Neodiprion lecontei: one gene and its partners. The protein of the gene in region 3 interacts with the protein of the main gene of each other region in a pairwise test. Links are inferred from orthologs where the notes say so. Each region holds a gene or a part of one and is shown on either strand. Other genes may lie near its edges. The genes, in order: transcription initiation factor IIA subunit 1, zinc finger protein 260 and deformed epidermal autoregulatory factor 1.

Region 1 (7,975 bases), on a different chromosome or scaffold from region 3:
TCAAACTTGTACAACATTCGACCAACGGGGGTATACTTACAAAGCAATGTTTGAGAAAAGTATTTTATGGTATTAGTCATGTCGAATCCTGAGGGAGTTGGCTGAATCGCGTGTAGGAGTCTTTGATGGTAATCGTGAAGACTCGAGAGCTTTAGTGTGTCTGTAAAATAGCACTAAAATTACAGTACAGTTCATGTGTAAGGATATTTGTACCTTAAATTGGTTTTGTGTTTACGTTGTACGTTTAAATGAATCTGTTGAAACTATTAATTGCAAGAATGAACATGATCATGAAATACTTGGAAAATTCGATATAACATAGAACGATTATACGCACATGCAGCAAATTTCGTCCCCATTTTAGAGTTGTAACAAAATTGCTTTCGGTAAGATTAATATCGCTTCTTAATATACATCATTCTTGAACAACGCATCGCATGGACCCGAGTATCCGACGTATTGATCCTCCGAACTCAGATACTCTTTAATCTGAAAGCGATGTTCCGCGCTCATCTCGACCGGACAACAGCTGATTCGCTACACTATATTAGTTGTACCTTCGGTTAAAGCATTGTACGGCACTACCGCATTTGCGTAAAAATGACATAAAACGCTTAAAAAACACTTATGTCATTTCATCCGGTCATATTCGGGTTAATCACTCGGTTTTATACACATGAGTTTCACACGTTACGTTGACAGATCTACGAAAAATTAAGCGCACGCGCCAAACTCCGATGGTCATCGTAACTCCAACGAACCACGGTTCAAGAATAATCTGCTGCCTACAGCCAACTAGGTACAATACCATGCGTTACCAGAGAGAAACCTGCGTTACATCCAAAGTATATTATGGAAATGTTTGAGCAAATCAGAATGTGGGGCGGTAATTATTCCGATGAAAAACTTTTGATTCTGAACCCAACCGGCATCCGAAGTCATTGCCTCTCGTTTTATCGTCTGAATAAATTATTAAAGCGTGTATTACACTGCTTATTCTTATAACCCCGGGGATTCCCTGCTCGCAACAATTTCTATCTGACGATCCAAATTTCGGCAATCGGCATAGAACTGGAGTATAATTTGTCCACTGTTTTGTCCAATAAATCGCTTATGCAGTGGATGTATTCCAGTATGTGTGCTAGCATCTTGCTAGCAAGTAGCACGTGGACATTTCGGAATGGTCGTTCCGTAACAAGAATGAATATCCGCGATCTGTCATTGCGGAACGGACATACATTTTGTGTCCGATTCACGATGTAAGAAGGGTAAACAGGTTGAAGTCCGACGTTACCAGGTCAAGAAATCTCCACAATTTCGACACTGATACCTGAGGCAATTCCGAGCCCAACTCATTTCATTACGTCTCGAAATGTCGGACGTGCTAGCACCGCTAGCACACATTTCGGAATACGTCCAGTATAAAGCAGAATGGCTGCTTCATTTTGACGTATTCAGGAACTCCTATGATAACTATTGAACGTAGTCACTTCCATTATAACTTTCACCTTGTCGAACCGTAAACTAGGCTCAAAAAATTACGTTATGCGTAAATCGATTAGTTTTACCGTAGTAAAAACTATCATTGCAATTTTTTAGGTTATATTCCTTCATATCACAGTAAGCTGTACATAAGGCTAAAATCACGAGAGTAGTTATGTTGATCGACGTAGTTGAGCCATAGGGTGGAATGGGAGCTGTTGAGAAAGTATAAAAGAGCTCGAGCAACGCGGCAGGTCGGCTTCTCAGAAGCGGGCATTGATTTAGGATTATTCGTATTGTTGTTCTATTGATTGATAATACGAATTATCCCATAATGGCCCTGAGTCAAACTAGCGTGGTGAGTAATAAAGAAAAACCACGAAAATAATATGCTAATGAAAAATACAGGAAACAAAGCATCGTGCTTAACGAGCCGTATGTATGTATTTACGTCTTGCTTTCGGTAATATTAACTTGCTGAAGGCCTTGGACGATCTGTCAATAGTGTAATCTTCGCTATCTTAATGCCTTTGTGACTGTTGTACTCTGTTTTGAAGTAACATTTGACTCGTTACTTGAAAAATGAAGTCGCTCGAAACATCGTTAAATAAAAATATTTATAATAAACGTTTATCGTTATTTTCACCTTCAAAACATGAGGATATCTTTATCGCCCTCGACACGTATGCGTAACGTGTTACACGACATGTTCAACGAAATGTTCATTGATTACACAATTACAAGAGAAAATAATATTGTTGTCATACTTAACGTAAGTAACAAAATATTAAATACCCGTCGATATTATTTTGATGATGATTTTATTTCTTTTTTAATTGAATAGAATTCTTTAAGAGGCAACAAAGTATTGCAATTCCAACTCGTATGCTATTTTCGCCTCACATATAAAACCTTTCTAGCTAGCTAGAGAAGTGTTTTTCTAAAAACATAATTCAGCAATGCTTATACTTCAGAAAGAAGCAAGAAAAACACATTTTACAACTGTGACATTTTACCTAGAAGTTAAAAAGAAATATGCAGATTCATCCACTTTTTTGTCAACGGCCATCTAATACGACATAAGGTGGACGTTACTTCAGTAATATTTTTACACAGCACAAAAGTGAGTAAAATGGTATTTTGGTTTCAGTTGAAGTTATACAACACAGTCATCGAAGATGTCATAGCTGGCGTGCGTGAATCATTTTTAGATGAGGGTGTAGATGAGCAAGTATTACAGGAGTTGAAACAAATATGGGAGACAAAATTAATGTCCAGTAAAACGTTCGAGGTGAACCCAGATCCACCAGAGCCCCAGCCTCCTCAGCTTACCACCCACAAGACAGCGGCAACAAATAAAGGTAACAATTTTGTAATATTTGATGGCTGTAGTCATATGTTATTGCTCACTTTTTGAAGTATTCCAAAACAGGATACAGCTTTATATGTGAAAAAATTTTACCGCACTTTGCATGCTATTCAAGCTGTATTCTACTCCGTACAAGAGATTTTGAATTTTATTGCAAGTTGTGTTTTTTTAAGACTCCATGCGCTCAAATTTTTTCAATTATCACAATCACATGTACATACTCGCAGAATCAAAATACACTTTGAACCTCTAAAGTGAATAGTTTTATACAGAAAAAAAGAATCCACATCTGGCGAAATCCGCACGTATATTACATATGATAGTAATGTCTAGACGTGACTGATCAATATTTTCTTGATGTTTGCTATTTAATTATTCTATATGTACAAAATTTAGTACGTATTTTTCAGATTGTATTGAAATCAGTAAACATTGATATTTAATGTTGGCTCTCATTTTTACAGCTGGAATTGCTGGAAATCATTTTGTGCAACAACCGTCAACTGCAGCTGCAGTACAGCAACAGCAGCAGCAGCAACAACAACAACAACAACAACAACAACAACAACAACAACAACAACAGCAACAACAGCAGCAACAACAGCAACAACAACAACAGCAACAACAGCAGCAACATGCACAGCAAGCGGGCCATCCTGTGCAACAACAATCAAGTGGTATTGCGCAGCAGGTAGTTACTGCTCCTGCTGCAGTTTTGGACAGACAAGTCCCAATTCAAATCACTCTTCCTGCACAAGCTGGTCAGCCCGATGCTCAGCCCCGAGTTCTCACAATACAAGTCCCAGCCTCAGCGATTCAAGGTAAAATAACATATCCTACTACAGTTTTAACCCATAAGTTACCGGATTACGAAATAGCTTGCTGAAAAATATTTTTACTGTCCAAAGCACATTTAAATGATTTCCTAGAATGCAAAGTCTACTTAAAAAATAAAATTAAAATTTCGAAAATCTTGCCCTATTTTGACAGTGTTCGTATGGATGAAATTGATGTCTTAATGGTACAAGTAGCTACATTTATGCACTTTAACTCTTCATTATGGACGTCAGGTTTCTTAGCGCTAGTGAGCACGTGGGGTCTTCGAGGACCCATTTTTTTGGAGCTATATTTTCGCAAAATTCTGCTAATCATTGAAACATAGATTCAAGTATTATTGATCTTGTTATTGCAATTGTAATGCGAATAAAAATTGCCAAAATATTTGGATATCTGTTTTTGTGCAAGATAAAAAGCTTTGGTAGTCACAGACATTTTTGTTACAGGTAACCAATTACATACTATTTTAACTGGTCCTGTAATTACTGCTGCAATGGGACTCCCTGCGAACCTGGCATCAACATTGTTGCAACAACATGTAAATGCTACGCTTCAAGGACAACCTACGCTTGCGCCTATTCAACTAGCCCAACCAACTGTTGTAACACAGAATACAAACAGTGTAACGACACAGCGAACTGCCCAAAGTCAGGTACGAGTATATGTTTACGGAATGGTTAAATTTCTTTTAATTTGTTTTGAGTTGTTCTAGAATAAATATTGTATACGTTGAATATTTCGTCTCTTTCACAATTAATGCCTTTTCCGTCAGTAGGCTCAAAAGTTAAATATATTCCGATTCTTGATTCGTCATCACTTTACTTCGTCAGTACTTCAAAGGTTATGCAATAGATAATTGACTTTACATAAAACTTGTTTTTCACAAATTTTAGGAATCAATGACAATGACAGCATACTTGAAGTTGGTCTTTCCCGCGTAATCATAGCTACTAAATACAGGGTGACGTAGCACTATCACCCCATAAGCTCACTATGTATTCCTCGTGAAAATCTACGACTGAAACGTTTGTTATTTCTCACTGACAGATTGTCGTTTGCGATTTACAGTTGTTTGAAAATGGCCAAACCGGTATCATCTGATGGTTTAGATCAGGGCTGGTGGATAGCCATGTGCTCCACAGCTGTCCTAAGCGATCAAATACTACCGGACTGGCTAATTTCAAACGTAATTCGCGAACAACAAGTTTCCTATTAGAAATAAAAACGTTTCAGTCGCAGACTTTCACATTGATAGCTTGTGGAGTGATAGTCGTAGGTCACCCTGTATATTTCTTACATTCCTATTCCATTGATGACAGGGTAACATAGCTCAATTGGATGGGCCTGTGGTTGATACGTCTGATGAAGACGATGATGAGGAAGAAGAAGATAATGATGATGATGATGAAGATCTTGATGATAGAGAAGAAGAAGAAAATGATGACGCTGCTGCACGTGAGGAGGTAATATTTTTTCAGATTTAACGTCGTGTAATTATCTTCCTATTTGGATAATGCATATGATATTTCTAGAATGTTTCATATACGTTCTGCTTTACGTTTAAGTGTTTTGTACTAGAGATTATATCTTTATTTAGTATTCGGAATTATTGACGTTCATGTGTGCGCATTATTTCAGGAACCACTGAATTCTGAAGATGATGTTACTGATGATGATCCAACAGATTTGTTTGATACGGATAATGTAGTTGTCTGTCAGTACGATAAGGTTGGTACTTTGGTTGTTATACTTGACCATTTCGTTTGTGCCTACTATTTGGACAGTAATAATTAATATATTTGGAATTTTACTGCATTTTAGATCACAAGGAGCAGAAATAAGTGGAAATTCTATTTAAAAGACGGCATAATGAATCTAAGTGGGAAAGACTATGTTTTCCAAAAAGCTAATGGGGATGCAGAATGGTAAGGGGCCCACTGCTACTTTTCTTTTAACAATAAAAAACCTATTCTTCTTTCCTCGTCTCTTATATCTTTTGTGCAGTCCTGTGAATCACATTGTTATGAATTAATCATTCACAGTTACTTCAAAATCATAATAGTATTAATAAGCATTATAAACCAATTACCATTACTCATTTAAAATGATACATGTAATATCAGGTAATATAAAATTTGTTATTAAGCAATTGGATGTTTTACGGTCTTGTGGACAAAATTCAAACTCTTGTATTTTTTGATTATAAAAATAATATATATATATATATACCTATATCTAAATCCGTACTGTTAGGTATTATCTAAATTCTTGCTTTTAATTTTTGTAAATAAAATCTTTCGCAAATATCACTGCACTGGTTTTGACAGAATATAATATAAGGGAATTCAGTTAACTTACTCAGGGATGTTTTGTTGTGGTATATATAAGTAGACTTGGAAACGGTAATAAAGTATACTCTAATTTTATAAATCGCATGGAACTGCATTGCAAGATAGAAGTGATAGTTGTAACATGATTTTTATTCATCTGATACCGATTAATTCCGTTTTGAATTTATAATTCTTGACCCTTACTCACTTACAAGAGGAACTGCCAAATTTCAATAATATTGCGACTGGAATAGACTTGTTTTTACTTTTGTACGCATTTGTAAATCTTATCATAAGATAGATTTTATGTAATTCCAAAATTGCGATTTATAAATAATTTTCTGAATTTATTCTCTGCGTAAATCTAATATAACATAGAATGAAGAATTATTATGCCTATTTCACTTGGAACACGGATACTAAATAATACATGCTTAAATGGTCTACTAAACGATGGGCCAGTTTAACCTTTTAAGGACGGGACTGGTCGAAATTTCGACCACTGGGTTGGTCGGATACTCCACGTGAGAAATTCATTGATATTATACACAAATTTCGTGTAAAATAAAAGGTCGATTTCAACGTAAAAATTCCCGTCCTGAAAAGGTTAATATGCTTTGGGAATAATAATTTTGAAAGTGAATCACCAGTGTAGTTGTAAATTTTAAGACAAAATACAGGTTAGTAATTAGGAGATTAAGTTTTAATTTTTGATTATACTGTATACTTTCACAAAGACTGTGCTCTAATCTAAATATCTGGTTGATTTACAAATGAAATTGCAAAATGGTTAAGGAGTTTGAGTGTACGCTCACTTACAAATTTTGTTGATTCTCGTGAATATTATTAAATCATGGATTATTTGAAGTAAAGTGCCTATGGGTAAAGTGGCGTGTGGGAGTTGAATTTAAATGTGAAACAGACTATTAAGCAAATGATATGCTCATAATTTTTGTTATAATTACCTGGGATGTAAATATATTGTCAAATGTTGTGGAAAAGTGATTATCGAAACGAAGTATAATAGTAAATTATTCCCGAGTTCATAAATTAGTTCATATTTCATTAGATTCATAAAATGGGTCAGACTTATGTATAAATTAAATTAAAGAAACTGATGCTGGGACTTAAGTAGTCGAGTGCACAAGAATCTATACTTGAATTTATTCAACTATGTAATTCTTATATAATTCTTCAACTGTATTGTAATAAAAACGTTTTTGCAATTCATTTCGAATAAAGAATCGAGCATAATCCAAAACTAGTTGGAAAAATATTTTAAAGTTACATGTGAAATAGGTATAGAATGAAGATTTAATAGGTATATTTGAAAACCATCAATGGTTGAGTATTTTACTTCATCTGAAGAAGCAAACAACTTAGAATGAAAATTCTGTAAGTTCATGAAACGAATGATTTATATACTGTAGATTTTCAAATGCTCAATTCATTAGTAAAAAAAAGAATCCATAATTGAATGCAAATTATCACTGCTTAACAACTGCGGTTTCAATACTTTTCATTGATACATATGTATATAAATCAGTTGAATAGTGTTGTGTGTACGTATAGTGTATTTGAAAATTCTTAGAAGAATAAAAGTGTCTTATGCTGCATACATGTATACCTACATTTGTAAAAGTATTTTAAATAAAGAGGGTCTATTACTGTAGATTATATTTGTCAATCGTAAAATTTTATACCCATGAATCGATTTTATTTGAATCAAATCATCTTCTAAACTAAATATTTTCATTTTTGCTACCACAAACGTATCAGTTACCCACGAAAAATCTATTTGAACTCAACGTCAAACTGAAGTTTGAAAATAGAAGTCTATAATATTGTTTTGCAAATGATGAACCTATACTGGCAGATATCACGGTACCATATCAGATTACCAGCAACTATTTCTAAAGTAATCATTTAGAATAGAATAAAATCGTTTACTCACAGT
Region 2 (4,924 bases), on a different chromosome or scaffold from region 3:
TTTTTTTCCTTGAAATGAACGAGATTGATGTAGATAATTTGTTTACATTTTTTTCTAATATCTAAGTTATAGCCCCGCTTGGGGTTTAATCAAGCTTGGTGGTTTATTCGGATAGGTCACCGCTTGAATTAATTCAAACGCAAGCGAGTTAAGTATTCCATAACTTGATAAGTAAACCATAAATTTCAATAATGATGGCTGAAAATAGGAAACAGAGATGAAACTCTTTGCCTCTAGTCTCCATACATATATCATTCATAATAATTATATCATACTAATATTTATATCAACTACTTTCATTCATAACAATTCATTACTTGTAGTAATAATAATTTATTATTAGGTTGGCGCTGCATTACGCACGCGTTGATTATCCATTCCTCAATCACAATGCCGGCCTGGCGGCCACAAAGTGAGATAAATAATCGGCAGTGAAATGAACCACCTCCACTACCTTCGTTGCCAGACCTGTGTGTAAGACCGTGGGTGACACGGATACTTTAGGGTGCGTTTCGAAATTAGCTGGCAGCGCTGAAAACTCCCTAGGACAGAGGCCGAGCTACTCTCTAACCCGGCAGCGGAAGAGAGTAGAATATTGTTTCCAGCACTGAGAGCTAATGTCGGAACTCATAGACTCATAAAGATAGACTGAGCGCTCTTATGAGCCGCTTGAAGCAAACATTTAAAGGACAGAAATATGCCGGCAGTACTCCATTCTCTCTCTGAGAATATTTGCGGCGGGGATCGAGGCGGTAGAGGAGAATGAGACGAAATTATGCGCCTGTATCTAAAGCTGTTCCAATCCCACTGCTCCGTTGTCTCCCACCATGACGCCGATGGAAAAGAGAGAGCAGTACTCCCGGTATATCTCTGTCCTTTATATATAATTGTCAGTGCTTCTTATAGGAGCGCTCAGTCTATCTTTATAAGTCTATGGTCCGAACCACGGTCGTACACTTGGGGACAATGAATCTGAGAAGGCTAATTTTGGACACTAGTCAGTTATGTTTGAAACCCAGAGAAACCTATAACGCCATAGTCGGCCAAGCGCGAAACAAACTCAATCTCAATAAACACAACATAATCCATGGCAGTCGAATCTAACCTTAGAATACCGTGTTGGATTGACACGTCAACAAATCGTTATCCCTGTCGAATCTAACCTTAGAATTGACGTGTCAATCCAACAAGTCATTATCTTCGCAGTGTAGTGTACATACATACCCACCCATAGTATAGGACCCTTACATGGGATTTTCATGTGCAGCAAATAGTTAGATGCGGCGTGCTCCAATTGGTCAATTCACCAAGATCGCCAAGTATCAGACGTCACAAAATGGTGATTTTGGTGAATTGACCAACCAGAGCACGCTACATTCAGCTGTTTGCTGCGCGTGAAAATCCAGCTTAACGGGCTCTTCCTACTTACAAAAATTGAGTAGAGTTACGAGAGCTATATGCATTGCGATCGTGACTTCAACTAAAAATCACAATGCGTTGTATGGGCAAAGCATTACTGAAATATGTTAATACTGAAACGCTCGCCGTAAGGCAGCGTTGCCCGAGAGAGCGTCGTCAAGAAAGTTAGAAAATTGGTAGGATTCTGCCTTTCTCGGATACTCGTTTTTGATTGGCACCGAAAGAGATGGAGTAGGGGGAACTCTAACTCTCTTTCACTAATGGGAAGCGTATTTTTATCTCTGTTCAACCTTTGCGTGGAGATGTGCGTGACAGTGGGGATAGACTGGTGACGTGCTTTTGTACACGGTGTGCGTTCCAGTATTACTATATTTCAGTGGCAAGCACAGGCTGCTTTTTCACTGTTCTTCTCACATCGTGTTCATAATCATGAGTGTAGAGACATTGTAGGGAGATCTCAATGCATAACTAGGGACATTTTAAAGTAACACCTGGCGGCACTGCGGCTGAGTGAAGGGGTCGAGAATCGCGTGCCCGGCCGCCCATTGTTATCCTTGTCGAACGTAATGGCCGCCAGAGAGTTTGTTGACGCTCTTCCGTGGTTCCGTTTAGTACGCGTCAACGAATCCGCGCGATAAATCAATAAAACCTGCAATTTTTGAAGAGATAATAAGGGTTAGGGTTTGTAGTTGAAAGTCTGCGTGCGAGATAGTTTAATTCCAAATAATATGCAGTCATAATGCTGTGAAACGCAAGGCCAATGCTCGCTTGGTATCAGAGACGTCTACCGGACTCAAACATTCTCTGACAAGTGCCTGGCTCCAGCGCCCTAGCCGAGGGGTTACAAACGATCACCGGTACTGTATTTTTCGCATGTAACGTTCCGAACTGTCGGCCGGAAAATAATCCACTGGCAAAGATAAGTGTTTGAGGAGATTTTTTAATCGACTTCATGGTCAACCCATGCCTGGGAATTTGGGATGCTGCCCACCTTGATGCTCGTTGGCCGTTGGCCTGTGTAGCCTTTTGTTAACGGCCCAGCAGGTGTATATTTGCTAATTTTTTATTTTTAATGTGATAACGAGTCTACCGGAATGCAGATTATGGATACAGACTCAAAAAATCATCGAGAATAACGGAGTAGATGCATAAACTATACAAGTGAGTATTTATTAGAAATTTTGCATTTTACATTATTTCTGTTCGGGTTGAAAACTTCTTTTACTTTTCAATTCCTTCGGTATTTGAGTGAGTTTTCTCATCAAATATCCTATCCGACTTTTTCTTATTCAACTACGATGACTACACTACCATATATGTATATATATGTAATATATATACATACACACACACACTCAGTTATATATATATTTGTAGATTAGAGTGTCCATTATTTTGGTCATTTTAGAATTTTTTCGATTACCCCAAAAAATTGTTCATTTTACCGACAAAAATCTTGTATCAATATAAAAGTTTTTAATATAAGGTAATATTAACACATGAGCGATTGAAATTTTAAATGTAAAATACATTGAAGTTTTCGATGTTTTGAAATTATTATTATTTTATTCATTGAATAAGATGGACTAATAAGATCAATTTGATGCTTGAGAACAATGCTCATACTTCCAACATATCACGGAATTGGAAAAAAATTTTTTTTTTTAAACTCATCCACTTCACAAGACCATAACTTTTACAGTTCAATTCAGCATCGTTATCTATGGAATACATACGCGCATCGCAAATTTTTTTTTTTGTTCCTACGTCTAGTTGAAAGTATAAACATTGTTATCAACACATATACCGTGGCGACCTGTCATCTGAACTTATGACGGTTGGTCAACTTGACAAAACTGCTTTTGCTCTAAAATTTTAGCACATGCGTGTTGGATTATTCCACTGTCAATTACTCACATTGTATATACCTGGCATTTTCGTGGACGTGCACCATGAGGTCTACTCTGAGCAACTCGGCAGTCCATTCGTTAGCGCGTGGCTGATGTGAAACTCGGAGCTGCACAGAGTGGACTCGTATCTTGAATGGCTTGTAATTAGGGGTCCCCTGGTACGCATCCACGAAAACTCATGGTATACAACTTCGGCATTCAGAAATCGGATCATGTTCCGTAACAAATCCTTTTTGGACCCTCTTATTTTCAGACTGCAAAGAAGCCAGAAATGATCTATTCGTAAAACTTGTTTTAATAATGTATCCATTATCATTCTATGTTAAGTATTGATATTTATCATTCAATAACAGGTATTAAACTTTGAATATCATAACGTGAAATTTTTGTATAAATTCATTTACAAATAATTCAATTATTCTATACATAAAATGAAATTTTGTTTCGTTTCGAGAGACCAGTCTCAAATTGAATTCATTTTACTGCCATCCTTTAATCTGATTATGGAGATCACTGGAATTTATTGAACCAAAACATAGTGATTCTTCATAGTTGCAAGCACATTTTGCAGCAGAGTCTGAATCCCATTTAATTGTAAGCCATGGCCTTTCATTAGTAAAACAAACACTGCTCAACGAGTTCCACATTTGAGGAGTTATGTTGTAAAGGCTCACTGTTAATATTATACTTATGTTTGATTTTACCCAAAGTTCTCATAATTTACTCATGCAGAATGACTAAATGTGAAAGAAGAATTACTTTGATATTTGAATTCTTATTGCGTAGCTTTAAGGGATCGTCTCAGTGTGAAATTTTCAAAAAATTGTTTTTTTTTTTTTTTGCATTATCGTATAGTATACACTGTTCTAAACATTCTCTCAAATTTTTAAATCGAAATTCAAATTATTACGGTCGCTACAGCGTTTCTTGTAGAAAGGGAACGGGTTTTCTACCTGCGCGAGTACTAAGGTGCTTAGGTTCTATAACCTTGCAGAATAAACTGTCCAAGCATTTCAGTTCGTTTTGACATCCACCACGGATAGACGTACGAGAGAAACCCCCAAGAAAAAAATCAAGACCTGGCATCGCTGATTGATCGTAAGTAAACGATTTATATAAACTTTTCCAACTTCAATCTCTAAACGCGTTTTTCTCAGAATGGTGTTTTTCAAAACGGTTTTCACTCTCAAAGGAAGAGTTTTAAAGATATCTAGTTCCAATTTCGGGAGAACATTTTAAACGTCATTCTTTATCGCGCTATGGAAGCTTTTTTTTTTTTTTTGAAAACTTCCTATTTTTTTTACGAAAAACTGTCGAAAAAAAGGGCCACATTCGACACTTTTTGTTTAAACCGCTGCCATTTTGTCAAATTTGAAAAAAAAAAAAACCCTCCATAGCGCGATAGCGACTTTCCTACAGATCAATAATCTTTTTGAAATTTTTTTTTCAGATCAAAATTGCGGCCGTCATCGTGGAAACCGTGCAGCACCTTTTTTTTTCACGTGAAATTACAACAATTTATACAACAATGATGCACTCAATAAATAAACTTTAAAAAAATCATTTTGTATTCTTCATAAACGTATTTATTCATG
Region 3 (7,657 bases):
ACAGACTAGTCCACAATGTGCAACACCATTCTTTAATTGGATAACGTGATTGTAAATACCCGTCACATGACTCTAACCATTACAGATTTGACACATGTCCTTCCTTTTACATTGTTGCTGCTTAGGTGTAAGATATTATTTTCGCAATTTCGACGCGCTATAAAATTTTCTCGCTCGAAAAATCTTAAAAAGTTTTTGAATACACTTTAACTCAAAAAACTGATTACGATAAAACGATGAAGGAATACGAGATGACCTGATTTTAATGTTGGTGGAGTGGCGATGGATTGCCTCATGCGAACCTGTGACACGTATGCATGTACGTCCACGACTGGAATATACTATACACACGTAGCTAGCGGTGAAGTTTCGTTGGACGGGTGTAATTACGTTACCCATGCTCTTTGTTGTATCAGACCACGGTTGGTTTACGTTCCTATCGCTCGGATATTGACGCATGAGAGGGGACTTTAATGTCATTTTGTCAAAATTTTATTTTCCATTGTCTCCACTTTTCCCTTCAGTGATCCGGAGCGTTTGAAGCTCTCGTTTTTATGCGCGCCTATAATCTGGCCACATTCTCGAATTCTACCTTGCGTAAATTCGAACGCCTTGGAGCACGATTAGCATGATCTCTGTTCTCTTTCTCTCGTGATTACAGAAGTAGTAAGAAAGTCTTAAAAATTGTTAATAGAAATTTTTTAATCCCTGATGTTAAATAGACGCTGCGTTTTCAGAGAATTGTACAAAAGTTCTTTACGCTTTCTGAGACTTTTATAGTATACGCGCCGTTCGTATCAGTTAGTTTCTAACAGTTTGTACGTTTGGCGATCCGAGAAAGTTTCAAAGTAGAATGAACTTCCTGATAGAAAACTCGTTAACGACTAATTAGTTTGCCCGCGCAGAAAGCAAGAGTGAGATCGCTGGATGAGAGAACAATTTCAAGGTGTATCGCCCCCATCTCACTTGCGAAAACGCTACGTCATTTTAAAAGTATCCGTATATATTTGCGATTCCTATTTTTCCTCCAATTTTTTACTTTTTATAAATTAAAGCTTTACTTCTTTCATGAATAAAAGTGAACGAGCTTTTATTTTACATCTTTCATACACTGACAATTTTACATTACATTATTTAACGACATAAACTCGCTACGAAATTTTCTACTGGCTCGAGTCCAAATGTGAGAAGTTATTGAGAAAATTTTCGTGGCTTGTGACGATGAAAAATAAGTATACACTCTCGTGGAGAAGTGGTCACGTCAATTATAACTGATAGAAAAATTCATCGCAAAATCGGTCGTGTGACTATGAGAAATTCGGTTCGCGAATTTAACAATTTTATCTTTATTATGCCTTTGAAAAGGTTATTTATCTAAATTTTCGTTGGCTGTGATTTAAATTGTACGCTTTGCTCGCAGCAAAGTATTTAACTGATCTCAACGTCGGTTAAAAATTCGTCGAGTAGTTCCGGGATTGTTTGAGAAAATACTGCAGTTCGACGGTTCGGCGAAGACAGATATATACGTATACATACATATATTAGCAGGTACTGTTATTTTCAAGCCTGAACAAATGTTACGATTCATTACTTCACCGGCTACCTACTTTTCAGAGTTTCTAAATAACATCATTATCCTGGTGCTCTGCTGCAGGGGTCGTGCAGTCGGGTTCGTTCACACGATTTATAAACATCGCTCTGGCCGAGGAAAATACAAGAGGGACTCAACCTTTGTGCATTTAGAGATTTATCAAAGCACGTATAAGGCATGTACGGGTAAGTTTATTCACCTGTACAGACGATCAGTTGATGCCGCTAGAAACACAACTGCGGAAGAATTTTCAAACGAGTTTGCATACTTCAACAGACTTTAGGAATAACTGAACAACACGTTATAATTAAACAATGAATATGGATTTTGTTAACCAAGGAAAGGTTTGCAAACGTATACATACGTACGAGATATATACGTATATTATACACATACGGCTACTGTTTATGTTTGAAAGTGATGTTATATCTACGGAAAGTGGAAATATTCCGCTTTCTGTCGCGCAATGAACGATAAATCGACGAAAACTTTACGAAAATTATGCAATGTTCTAGTTCACGACCAAACGTGATACATGCGCGAGTCGTGATACGTAGCGTTATATAAACTTGACTCTAATCTGTGCGCAAAATGTTATTACGCTGCACTCCAAAATTTATACAACTGCACAATACATATTCGCAATTTTGTACACAGATGCCATGCAATGTTTCTCGCATAAATTGTTTTTTCAAATGTTGTGAATAATACTTCCTGAACTCTTCTGGATGATGGTTCTCTAAGCTGCATACTTTTAACAATATTTACCTAATTTAGAGAGAAAAACAAGATAAACGGTCATTTTAAATAACGGGAAAACTAAAAAGAACCTAAAGGTTTGGAACTTGAATTCTTGTTTGTAATTTTTAAGCAGTATTCTTGCTGCATTTAGAAATTTATAGATGTATTTTTCCTCGTATCTTCTATTTGAAAATCCAATGATATTTTTAATTTTGCGTTAATTTTGTGAATAAACGTCCAGTGCGAAGACATCTGTTAATCAAACTCTGCAATATGAATCAACTGTAGTGGTAGCTTACTGACAGTAACTGAACTGCTATACCGACAGCCAACCGATGTCCCTGGGAAGGTCGATAAAACAGTTTCTGTGGGTATTTTTTTCAAACTCCACTTGCTCTAAATTAAGTACTGCATACGAGTTATGAGATAAAATTTTCAATACAGCAAGAACAAAACAACAAAGTATCGTCGGTCAAAGCAACAAATTGTCGCAGTTTAAAAGTCTGACCGACAACGGTACGGTCTGCCCTAAATGAAACTGCACACGCTTAAAGCTAACTTGGAATTAGGGCACGAAATTCCGTCGGTAAATATGAATAAGAGGTTGAAATTCTGAAAAGACGAGAGATGCATTCCGATCAATTCACAAAGTGGCGGTTGAATCAAAGTCCAAACAGGCAACTGACCAATTGATGATAAAATAACGGTGATAATAATTGTCGGAGAGTATGAATTAGCGAAACGCGATGCCGGCGTTGAAGAAACTCTGTGCATGTTTCAGAGCGGTATAGTTACCCATCGTGCTCGGTACTACGAACGCGTTAGTCGATGTCCAGCGACTGACATCTATTCGGTATTTGGGGAAACTAAAATAGCTTTACATGGGCAACGGGTCGGAAAATTTGTATCTGGGTACGAGCAGGGCGTATTTTGATTACCGCGGGTCTCGAGGAAAAGTTAAAGACAATCACGTGGGAAGTCGATAGTCAACTGCGAGGACGAAAGTATTGGCGCCATTGAAGACGAGGACAGCCGAAATGGAGGAGAATCAAACATCGGAAAGTGTCGCTGTGTTACCGGACATGTCCGAACCGTTGACGAGCGAAACCGAGGAGTCGGCTGCCCTAACGGGCGAACACGAAGCCCATCCTGTTGCTGTCACGGCCAACGTTTCCTCCGTTCCAGGGGTCGGCGTTCCCGTTTCGCTACCCGTTGGCTCGATCATCGGGGTAGCTAATTCCAGCAATGGCACCACCTTCAACGTCATTACCTCCGACCAGCTGCAGGTACTTGGCTCGACGATTACGCTCCGCGTATTTCTCACGTTTTATCGCTTCGCCCCAGGCCTCGAAAAAAGTCTGATCGAATTTTCTCACCTATCAGCGTTCAACGTGTTTTTCAATGTCATTTGTCAATTCGTATAGTTGTGAGCATATGACCATCATCACCCCAAAATGTTCACCCCTTTGAATAATCGCATCATCTTTTCCCCATTCGTTATCCGGTAGCTAGTTGCATGGTGTCTGTATGTGGGCTATCGATTTATAACCTACACGGACGGTATTTGCTTACACAGGCCCAGGCTTTTACCATAATATTTATTATCCGAGAGTTTACATGCTCCAAGATTGATCCAATTTATTGGTTTTCTTAACAACTTCATAAATTTGTTTACATTCCTTCGCTTACTCGGTACGCTCACTCTAGCCATGTTCCAATTCTGTTGAACGTTCCATCGGCTTTTGTATGCTTGTACACCTGCCTTTGCCTTTGGTTGTCTAAATAATGTATCACAAGAGCTAATGTACAAGAGTGCACAGTTTTGATGATTTCCAATATCGTAACTGTAGTGGAAAAAATAGTCATCATTTGTTTTTTTGTTTTTGTATAACAATAATTTTGTTATGTATCTTATTCAGAAGTTTCTAAAACAAACCATCAACATTTTGTGAACTCATTTTACAAGGTTATGACGCAATTCCGCAATAAAACGAACGTGCTACGGATAGGGTACCAACAGTGGTCATATTTGAGCAATAAAAGTTTTTGTCTCGCAGGTTATTGCACTTTGAGATAATGAAGAAAACTGCTAAAGCTTATTGAATACGTGATAGTAGTTGTCATGCAAGATCCCTTTACTGCATGCTCTATGTCAACGTTATGTATTTGAGTTCTATTGCAGAATATGAGTAATTGCAATCATTGATATTCATTAGAATACCAATTTGGGGATATTCTGTGGAAAACTTCAGGTACCCTGTCGCGTAGTTGCTAAGTCAGCACTCTCTCAATTCAATTCCCAAAGTTCTTATGATCTTTAGAATATTTGGAGAATATCAAATACGGTACCTTATTAAAAGTAAACGACTGAAAAAATATTTTAATTATCTACACAATATCTGTGTCAAATTATTTTTAATATATTTTGGCCGCCATTGTCTACATATGCTGCACTTGAACATTATCACATTGTGTGACAAGGAATATTAATCTGCCACCAAATTAGTATACATTAAAAAATTTGCATCAGTAAGATTTGCGTTAGCCAGCAAAGATCAAATGTCACGTGCTATTAATTACATTTCAGCTACCGGGCTCGGGTCAATTTAAGCAAATGTTATGCGTGGATAATGGATTTATCTGTGAACCTCGTCATGACAAGGATAGCGATCCTTTACGCTGGAACGGGGAGTTGAAAGCGACGCATATCGTAATCCAGAACAGTACAGATGAAAATGATAGTGATCAAATCCATGTCACAACAGCCAACTCGCAGCCAATATGCAGTTGGTCAGAGTCTGCGAACATGGCTGTACTGCCAGTTAGGTGTAAAAACACTAATGCAGAACTGCACAAAAGTAGATTTGGGTCAGGGGGAAGAGGACGTTGCATAAAACTTGGAGATACTTGGTACACACCTAGTGAGTTTGAAGCTCTTTGTGGAAGAGCATCGAGTAAAGACTGGAAACGTAGCATAAGGTTTGGGGGCAGGAGTTTACAGACCTTGATAGATGAACAGATATTGAAACCACATGCCACATCCTGTACTTGTGCAGCCTGCTGTGACGACGATAGCGCTGTAAGTATCGTTATTTTCATTTTTTGAATTTGGTGATTCACTTTTGTATTGATTTTATTGCTACTGACAACTGATGACATGATTTGGCGTCTGTGCTGCAGACTGGCCCAGTGCGATTGTTCACTCCTTACAAGCGTAGGAGAAGAGCGCGAGAAACCTCTGATGGTGAGACTCCAAATCGCAAACACAAAAGTGACAATTCTCGAGACGGAAGTAACAATGACGACAGTGACACTGAAGTTGTTGTACCCGATAAGGAAAGCTGGTCTCAATTTGTATCAGCAGATGGGTTGGTGGTACAACAATCACAAGAACAGGAAACAGTTGTGCAGAGTGTGCATCAAATTGAAAATGGACAAAACGAAGATATTTTTAAGAAGCTCGACGAAATGTCAAATAAGATGTTGAAACTAGCCTATGAATTTAGGCAAACTCTTGCCGAAGCCAAAGAATTGAATAGGCAACAGAAGCGAGAGCAAGCTCTTGCTGCGCAACTCAATGTCCGAGGTGAAGTAATTGAAACAGTTGGTCTGCAGCCAACTTCGGATACACACAACAAAAAAGTAAGTTTGACTATTTCAAAAGTTCGATTGTCGATTTACACTTTGACACGGGCTCATTATGAATTTTCCCATGTTTTCCCAAGTGTGCCAACTGCAATCGTGAAGCTTTCGCTGAGTGTTCGCTGTGTAGGCGTACGCCTTATTGTTCTACGTTCTGCCAACGAAAAGATTGGGCTGGTCATCAGGTAGAATGTGTAAGAGGCGCTGCAGAGACAGTTATGCTGATAGTTGAGAGTAGTAGCGGGGATGCGAATGCACTTTCAACATCAGCCGGGGACCAATAGCTAGTGTTCCTCACTCCGATTCATCAAAAGAATCCTGGGAGTGAAGAATTGGATATGGAAAATTCGCCAACAGAAGAATTAGAAACAGATATTAAAGTTGCCAAGTCCGAGATGGACAAGAAAGATAGAGAATAGAATAATTATGTTTTCGAAGGAAAATAATAACAATAATGAGCAAAGTAATGAAATGATCCAGGTATTAGCGTGTTACATTGGTGTTATAAATAGAATAGCATAGAATACTGATGTCAACATTCTTGAATACTTGGAATTTTGAAAATTGAGATCGAGAATATTTTGCCAATCAAAGACAACTTGGAGTGCAACTTGTTTTTCTGCGAACGAATTCATACCAAATGTTAGCTTTTAGATATTTTCTACACACCCAATCTAACAATGATGTGGTAGGAATAAAGATTGTGAAATAGTGTAAAGAAATGAAGCAGTGAATTTTGGTCGGACGCAAAATGTTGTAAGATATAGATACTAATTTTTATTCTCTTGTATAAACATATTTACTGTTAGCATCATATTGTACGGACTTTTTTTAGTGAAACACGAAGCATCAAAAAAATTGAGGGACTTCACCAACTTAAGGTTGTACACCTAATTTCACATACTTGTGATATAAATGTTCAAAGAAACGTGTGAAGGTGTGAGTTCCATGCAATATTTCTCTGCCGAACCATTCAGGTAAATCTATATTATTACAATATTCTAATAAGATAAAGTTGAACATTTTACAAAAGCCAATACATACCTGAAATTTAAAGTCCTGATTATTTGTAATCATTGAGATAATTATAATATATGAGCTCATCTCTATGAGCTTTAATTTATTTTCAATTTCAAGGATGCATTAAATTATTCTGCAACCACGAATTGCATGCATGGTCTACCATTTTTCATCAAATGTCATTTAATCACCATCATTGATGTTTCTTATAGAAATGAGTGAGTAGCAATCATCTATCTAATATAATAATCATCTCACAAAAATACCAGATATAGTGCTATTAATACATTTCATTATTATAACCATATATGAAAATCATGAAAAGTTGGTAATATTGATCATCAAAAAAAGTAATTATCTATACGTAAAACCAAGTGATTACAGCGTTTATATAAAATAACTTATAACTTATATTTGATGTGATCGGGCTTCGAATCCTGAGATGAGCATTTTTTCGTTTGATAGTTTTAATCGGTATAAGGATTATAATATGCGTTGAAATTTTTCACCACTTTCTAACTTTATTCGCAAGTTGTAGGTATTGTTATTTATGAAGAATTATGGAGAATACTGCCCTCCTGGAATACGCTAGTTGGTTCTAATAGTTGTATACTCGCAGAGGTTGATTATGGAAACGAATCATCATAGTTGATTAAATGTGCA

What was found.
Region 1: the proteins of deformed epidermal autoregulatory factor 1 (region 3) and transcription initiation factor IIA subunit 1 interact in a two-hybrid assay, tested with the Drosophila melanogaster proteins (2 studies listed by BioGRID). The link is inferred for Neodiprion lecontei from reciprocal best matches to the Drosophila melanogaster genes Deaf1 and TfIIA-L.
Region 2: the proteins of deformed epidermal autoregulatory factor 1 (region 3) and zinc finger protein 260 interact in a two-hybrid assay, tested with the Drosophila melanogaster proteins (2 studies listed by BioGRID). The link is inferred for Neodiprion lecontei from reciprocal best matches to the Drosophila melanogaster genes Deaf1 and Clamp.

Annotation. Positions count from the first base shown.
Region 1 is NC_060263.1:28,727,859-28,735,833, reverse strand, and holds transcription initiation factor IIA subunit 1, read left to right. Parts: upstream 1-1,928; 5' UTR 1,929-2,137; coding exon 2,138-2,254; intron 2,255-2,632; coding exon 2,633-2,843; intron 2,844-3,315; coding exon 3,316-3,672; intron 3,673-4,134; coding exon 4,135-4,340; intron 4,341-5,007; coding exon 5,008-5,151; intron 5,152-5,326; coding exon 5,327-5,416; intron 5,417-5,509; coding exon 5,510-5,617; 3' UTR 5,618-7,794; downstream 7,795-7,975. Other genes in the region: protein unc-79 homolog, read right to left, coding at 41-160, 338-359. UniProt on the Drosophila melanogaster protein: TFIIA is a component of the transcription machinery of RNA polymerase II and plays an important role in transcriptional activation. TFIIA in a complex with TBP mediates transcriptional activity.
Region 2 is NC_060266.1:16,752,346-16,757,269, forward strand, and holds the start of zinc finger protein 260, read left to right. Parts: upstream 1-1,821; 5' UTR 1,822-2,580; intron 2,581-4,924. UniProt on the Drosophila melanogaster protein: Transcription factor involved in X-chromosome dosage compensation in males, the process by which transcription of the single X chromosome in the male is elevated. Binds to the DNA sequence (GA)n.
Region 3 is NC_060261.1:38,356,212-38,363,868, reverse strand, and holds the start of deformed epidermal autoregulatory factor 1, read left to right. Parts: upstream 1-1,656; 5' UTR 1,657-1,776; intron 1,777-3,113; 5' UTR 3,114-3,369; coding exon 3,370-3,618; intron 3,619-4,919; coding exon 4,920-5,411; intron 5,412-5,512; coding exon 5,513-5,974; intron 5,975-6,057; coding exon 6,058-6,258; 3' UTR 6,259-7,657. UniProt on the Drosophila melanogaster protein: Transcription factor that binds the homeotic Deformed (Dfd) response element. High affinity binding sites contain at least 1 TTCG motif surrounded by additional TCG sequences.